Arabidopsis thaliana: one gene and its partner. The protein of the gene in region 1 interacts with the protein of each later gene in a pairwise test. Each region holds a gene or a part of one and is shown in the gene's direction. Other genes may lie near its edges.

What was found.
Region 2: the proteins of MBP1 (region 1) and SAP5 interact in a two-hybrid assay, tested with the Arabidopsis thaliana proteins (one study listed by BioGRID).

The regions. Positions count from the first base shown.
Region 1 is NC_003070.9:19,351,089-19,355,024, reverse strand, and holds the start of MBP1 (myrosinase-binding protein 1), read left to right. Parts: upstream 1-2,233; 5' UTR 2,234-2,296; intron 2,297-2,428; 5' UTR 2,429-2,446; coding exon 2,447-2,656; intron 2,657-3,167; coding exon 3,168-3,936.
Region 2 is NC_003074.8:4,010,618-4,014,329, forward strand, and holds SAP5 (A20/AN1-like zinc finger family protein), read left to right. Parts: upstream 1-1,990; 5' UTR 1,991-2,089; coding exon 2,090-2,572; 3' UTR 2,573-2,966; downstream 2,967-3,712. Other genes in the region: AT3G12620 (Protein phosphatase 2C family protein), read right to left, coding at 52-376. UniProt on the Arabidopsis thaliana protein: May be involved in environmental stress response.

The DNA.
Region 1 (3,936 bases):
GAACATCTATGTAACGAAATAAAACTTTATCCAAAACTAATTTCAATATGTCATTTAAAATATTTTCGATCTATATTTTATAATAAAACTTCAATTTTACAATTTTCTATGATAAGAGTGAAAATAAATCTTTATTAAAAACTTTTCCCACAGACAAACCAAACTAAAATTAGGTCAAGGGAGATAATAAATTATTGCGCCTTATGTGATTAGTGGTGTCCGCATTCGATGGAACTTGGCTAAGATCTAACGAGTCTCTACTCGAAAAAGACCGAGCCACCGGAGCTCCAAAGCCCTGAGTTGCTCTCCGAGAACTTTGCCTGAAGAAGTAGCCACCCTACTCACACCAGAGAACAAACACTACCAAAACCACTCACCACACGATGGCTCCCTCGTGACCAAATATGAAAGGATCTTGCCTCACCAAGTTGGAATCTTCGACGGAACAATCGTCATAGGAGCCGAATTGCCATTTTTAGAGCAACTTCATCACATTAGGGGAGAAAATCATCCAGAGGTTAATCGCGTCAAGAATTTCTACTATTGTTCCCAGTCTCCTAGAGCCGTACGTCTTTACAAAATTCTAATCGTTTCAAGAAAATACATGTGAATAGGCGCATAATGGCCGCTTTATGGTTTAGACATGTAACCGTGAAATACATCTACTTCATGTAGGTGACTATATAATAGTATAGTTGACATATGTGATCATGCATTCTCTTATATTTCGTGTAGCTAGCAAATTTTTCCCTTTTTATTTTTATTTTAAAGTTATAGCTTTTTCTTGTGTAGCCACTGCGATGGTTAGTACTATATATAGTAATTGTTAACTGTAGCTGTTGATATATCAAAATAATGATATGATCATATATGGAATTATGTATATTAAAATGAATTTGTTTATTTGTATGAAAAAGGTAGTTTATTTCTTAATGACATAATTTTAAACTATATAATAACACAATGTTTACTCTAGATAACACTCCAATTGAGAAGTCTTACTTTTAACTAATAATAAAATTTCTATATTTATCTAAACATTTTCTGTAAAATTAATTATCTTATTTGATCTAACAATTTGGTATCTATCTAATTGATCCATTTGACAATAACTAAAATATTGATAAAATTAAAATAATTGAGATTTACTTTTATTAAGAAAAATATAGACTTATATAGTCAGTCATACAGAAAGTTTGATGGCATATTATCGTTAGGTGCACATAGATTTTTGTCATATTTTGTTTGGTGTAACAAATTCATTGGTTGCTTGGCCTTTTCTCTTCTTTTTTTCACAACGTGGAAAGCATTTTACTACAAATGTAACCGTTTTCGATCGTTACAACCCCTATCATTGTCACAATGACAAACTGTTTATAAAAATATTCAAAACAAAACATTAAAACTTATATGAGAACAAATTGTAAACGCGAGATAATGTTTTTGACAAATAAGTTATAATAACATTAACGTAAATTTATCTCCAAAAACATAACAAAATAAAGAAAAAAAAAACTTATCCCGAAAAATAGCTTAATAAATAGGGTAATATTAGTAGATAACCAAATAAAACATATAAATTAAGAAACTAGCAGAGAGAAAGTTTTTTGTTACAAAATAACCATGGACCTACGTTGTCGGAAGAAAAGAAATAACAAAGCTACCCTTCATTTGTTGTAAGATGAACAGTAAACGAAACACATCTGTGTAATTTTTCAAAATAGCATGTAACATTAAAATTTCACATGTTATATTTAGTTTAAAAACATGTTATTTCAAAAAACGTTATGAATTTTTAAGAAAAAATATTATTATGAAATTCTTTTACATGAACAGAATCTTTAAAAAAAAAAAATTACATGTGATTTTAATAAAAACCATATATTACTAAAAAATAAGAATATATTTTTAAGGAAATCACGTGTGATCTTAATAAAAAAACGTGTATTACTACAAAATATCATGATAAAAAGAGATATTAAACTGAATAGAATGTTTTTTCCAAAAAATACCATGTGTTTTTTATAAATACTATGTAATAAGAGAAAATAACAAAATAAAAAGAGGATATTATGTTATCGCATGTATTTCGGAAAATAACATGTTACAAAGGACATTTACGTAATTACACGTGTTCTCCAGCATGTTTCCGACAAGATACTGTAACTCAAGGTTAGTTTGTACATTCTTTTCAAATCTATAGTCATTTATTATAAATACTCTAATAAATATCACACCATTCGCCTCCGCAATCCACAACCTCGCAAGTAACTCTCATCCTCGCTGTACTGATCAGGTTACTCTTTGTCTCTCTTCTTTTTCTGGTTTTCGAGTTTTCTTTAGTATTATGCATTCAATATATCATATCAAAAAAATGCATTTACAGGAGTATACTAGTAGTAAAAAGTAATAGCTTTTATAATTTCAGAAGAAAAAACTCTGAAAGATGTCGACCGGAGGACCCCAAAAATTAGAAGCACAAGGAGGAAAAGAAGGCAAAGAATGGGATGATGGAGCCGAACACGATGGTGTGACGAAGATATACGTAGCAGCTGGTGGTCTTGGAATTGAACAAATCAGATTCGATTATGTAAAGAACGGACAACCAAAGGAAGGATCTTTTCATGGTGTGAAGGGTAGAAGTACTATTTCTACGGTATGTTGTCTTTTTTTTCTTTCTCTCTCTTTAATGCTACTATACCAAGTTAATGTGTATTCTAGCTAAGAGTAGTAAAAATATATGTTTAACTGAAAGAACCGAATCTATAGTTTAATCGAAACCAAAGCCATATTAGTGAAATATGGTTTCACTAGAAATAGATCCACTATAATGAAAGCTGATAATTAGTGAGATTCGTAACCGTCTTAATCGTCTATCTCTAACACACTTAACCGCTAGTTTAAGATATAACTTTGATTTTATTTTTTAAACGTTGGGTATTCAATTTTTTAATGTGGAATCTCAGTATATTTTTTTGCTGGTTTTTAAAAGATTTTAGTATTGTTTTTGGCATTTTCCCCTATAATCATTAACTCTATTTTTCAGTTTTTACCCTGAACTTATTCCAAACCGAAAGCATTGTTTTTGTTTCTGTTTCAATGAAACCTAAAACAAACCGGTTGTCCATCCTTAATAAACTATTGACATTTTTTTTCTATTTTGACAGATTGAGATTAGCCATCCAGCCGAGTATCTTATTTCCATGGAGGGTTGGTACGACTCTACCAATATCATTCAAGGAATTCAGTTTAAATCCAACAAACACACTTCCCAGTACTTTGGATATGAATTTTTGGGAGATGGTACACAATTTTCACTTCAAGTTAATGACAACAAGATCATTAGCTTTCATGGGTTTGCTGATTCTCATCTCAATTCTGTTGGGGCGTATTTTGCACCCATCTCTTCCTCCTTGACTACTACTCCCAACAAAGTGGAAGCTCAAGGAGGAAATGGTGGAGAAACATTCGACGATGGTGTTTTTGATCATGTAAGAAAGGTTTATGTTGGTCAAGGTGAGTCCGGTGTAGCTTATGTCAAATTCGAATATGAGAAAGATGGGAAAAGAGAAACAAGAGACCATGGGAAAATGACATTGTTAGGAACAGAGGAGTTTGAGGTTGATTCAGATGATTACATCACATCAATTGAAGTTTCTGTCGACAAAGTCTTTGGTTATAACAGCGAAATCGTCACTGCTCTTGTGTTCAAGACTAGTAAGGGTACAACCTCACCGCCTTTTGGAATGGTGACTGAGAAGAAATTCGAACTTAAAGATGGTAACGGAGGAAAACTTGCCGGATTCCATGGGAAAGCTAGTGATGTTCTTTATGCTCTTGGTGCCTATTTCGCTCCATCGACAACTTCGACTACTCCATCTACTACCAAGAAGCTACAAGCAAGAGGTGGTAATGGAGGAGCTTCTTGGGATGATG
Region 2 (3,712 bases), on another chromosome or scaffold:
GTCCCAAACACACACATATCAAATATAACAAAAAAGAAGGAAACAACGTACTCCTGATGTTGTCGAAGAGGTGTTTATTAACGAAACGGGCAGCTTCAGGACCACCATGACCATCATAAACACCAACAAAAGTAGCTTGAGGACCAGAATCAAACATACTAACAGGTCCAGACTCAAGCTTGCTATGATCTTCGAGAAGATTATTAGCTTGAATAACAGACATAGAGAACTCTCCAGCAACATGGTTACCAGAATCTTTATACCAAAGAAGACCATCACATCGACCATTAGCGTCTCTAGTAGAATGATCTCCTTTAACAGAAGGTCGCCTCCAACATGGTGCTACCATCCGCAATATAGTTGCCGATGATACCATAACTCACATAATCCCCTCAATAATCAAAATTTCTTTACTTCATCTAAAAGATCACTAACACCCCCAAAAAAACGGAATCAAATCAAAATTTGCTTATTCCTCCTTCCCTAAACAATACACCAATACGAATGCATCAATACACATTTGTCGCGCATATACAATTACGAATTTTCTTCAAGGATCGAGATCAATTACCTTAAAAAAAAAAAGCCGCGAAATGATTTACCGTTCGGACAAAACAAAAGTGAAAATTGGATCGAGATCGGAAGCAGGAGTTACGATAAGAAGGAATCGTAACTCCGGTTGGGATTACAGAGAGGAAGAGAGATGACGAGAGAGAAAGAAAACAAATCTAGCAGGCGACTCTGTCAGAATTCCTTATTTGGGGGTTCGATTTCTCTTATTTTTCTCTCTTTTTTTTTTTCTTTTTTTTTTGATGCTTTTTTGTTGTCATTTGGTTTTCGAGTTTAGCTGTTTAGGCATTGACCTCAGAAACAACCCGACGTTTTAGGCAGCTTTTTCTCCCATAGTTAGCTACGTTTCTCCATTTTTCAAGATTACTAATTTTATTAAAATATTACTATAATAAATAGATTTTTATTTACATTTTCCATAATCTGAATGAAATCAAATATATGCAAATATCAAAAGTATCACCTGATCACCAATTCCTAGTTTTGTCCAATGATACTGATGATTCATCAGCCGATTGATTGAAGGAACAAATTTGAAGTTTTCCACTGCTAGTTGAATTATGGTTAGTTCATTTGACTTATCAAAATCAAATGACTAAAATATTCGAATTTTCTTACATGCTGTAGAGATTAATTTCAATTTTAATTCATCATCCCATTATCTATATAAGAAAAAAGTAGAAACATTTCGCGAAATACAATCCACCTTCTGGGTTGTTGTCTTGTTGAATATGGTCAGGAAAATAAGACCATTAAAGCTTCAACCTCCAAGCCAAAGAGCAAATAAAATACTACTGATTAACGCAAAAACATGGAAAAAAAATAAAGTCTGCAAATTGGCATGTTGACATGTTGTACGCGTAGCTTTACAACCTCACAGGTCGTTTTTTTTGTGTGACAGTTTTAACCCCCAAAATCTCTTTCTTTTTGTTTTTCCCTAAAGTAAAAAATAAAAATCTAACATGTCCGAAGTCGAACCAAACATAAACATACAGGTGTTCGAAACTAGTTAACACAATAACACCTCTAGATATATATATGATTATGGTATTACTTTTCTTTGGTGATTTTTTTGTTGGGAGAGAAACATAAATAAACAAGTTGGCCCATATTCCAGCGATTTTCCTCACCCTTCTTTGATATCTCAGTTTATAAAAGTCATGATACTAATAAATTAGAGTATACTCAAAGAAAAATCAGAAAATACACCCAAAAAAGCAAAAATGTGAGAAAGAGAAACATGTTGTTGTCCGCTGTATGGCGTCATAAGCCATTCTAGAATCATTGAAATGCATATTTAATCCTCTCTGGTAATTCCAAAAAAGCGATGAGGGTATTAACGTAAATCCACCAGAAGACGAGAAAGTGGGGATGGTGGAAGGAGAGATGATAAGAGAGATGGAAACGCGTCTCTCTATGAGGCCCATATTCCATTCTTACCTCTCTCTACCTCTCTATCTCTCTCTCCTCATAATCGATCCGTAAACTCGCCGGAGGAGCAGGGAGATTCAATAAGACGATGGCTCAGAGAACGGAGAAGGAAGAGACCGAGTTCAAAGTTCTCGAAACCTTGACGACAACAACAACGACGTTATGTACCAATAACTGCGGCGTTACAGCGAATCCTGCGACGAACAACATGTGTCAGAAATGTTTCAACGCATCTCTCGTCTCGGCGGCCGCAGGTGTTGTTGAATCAGGTTCGATCTTGAAGAGATCGGCTAGATCTGTCAATCTTCGTTCGTCACCAGCTAAAGTCGTGATTCGTCCAAGAGAGATCGATGCGGTGAAGAAGAGAGATCAACAGATCGTAAACCGATGTTCTGGTTGTCGGAAGAAAGTTGGGTTGACCGGATTCAGGTGCCGATGCGGTGAGCTTTTCTGCTCAGAGCACCGTTACTCCGATCGTCATGATTGTAGCTACGACTACAAAACCGCTGGTCGTGAGGCGATCGCTAGAGAAAATCCGGTGGTCAAGGCTGCGAAAATGGTCAAAGTTTAAAAAATTAAAAATTCGATCTCAACCGTTGAAAAACTTGTGGTGGTTCAAAAGCTCCGATCGGAAGAGAGATTGGTCGGAGAGACATGGATTTGATTTGGTGATGTGTTGTAAAAGAAGATCAGAGAGATTATTCCTCTCCTCAAATCAAAATCTGAACCTCAATTTTTTTTTTTACGTTTTTTTTTCATCTTTTAATTTATATATTAGTGAATGATTATTAATATTATTATTGTGTGGCTTACGGATTCATGAATTTGCTTCTTGATCATCGAGAAATGGTGTATGTAAGAGACGAAGGGGTTGTTTGGTAATTTAGGAACATGTCTTTCTGGTTTCGTTTCGTTTCGTGTGGTAGATGTACTTATCACGATACTACTAGTCCATTGTGCGTCACAACTCACAAAGCCAATTTCTATCAGACAAGTTTGCTTGGCGTATAAAATAGCAAAGCCAATAACGTGTTTGAGTTTGTATGGGTTATCATCTTCTTGTGTTCCATTATTTTTATAGATTTGTATATTTTAAAGCATAACATATTAAACTATACATTAGACTTTTGTTTTCTTTTAATAATATTAACATGAGCTTACTCATTCTACGAGTTTTTTATGTGAATTATTTTCAACGCATACAAAAATATCTTGCATATATCTTAAAAGTCCAACAAAATACTGTTCTTTCATGCAACTATCATTGTAGCCAGACTATAGTTATATCTACTTAATAAAATGTGTAAAAAAGTAAGTTCATTGGGACAATTTTCAATTGTCATCTAAAAATTGCAACAAAATACTGTACTTTCATGCAACTATGATTATTTATAACTCTAGTCAGAAAAAAAAAACTGACGGAAAAAAAAAAAGTCAGAAAAAAAAACTAAAAGTTGGAGCACCTAATTAGGCCCAACCCAATAGTGAAAATATAAATGTGTTGTTTTAAATTGAAACACAAAACGCACCGTTTATAATTAAAAGAAATTCAGAGAGGCTTTTCATATCTAATTTGTTCCGTCCCTTAGACATTAATCAGGATTTCAATCGTCTGGGTTGCTGCTTTCTGGATTTCTCCGACAGAAACCCAAACCCTAGTACCACCACCTTGAAGCTCCTTAATTCTATCCGTTCTCGAATTGAATCGTGC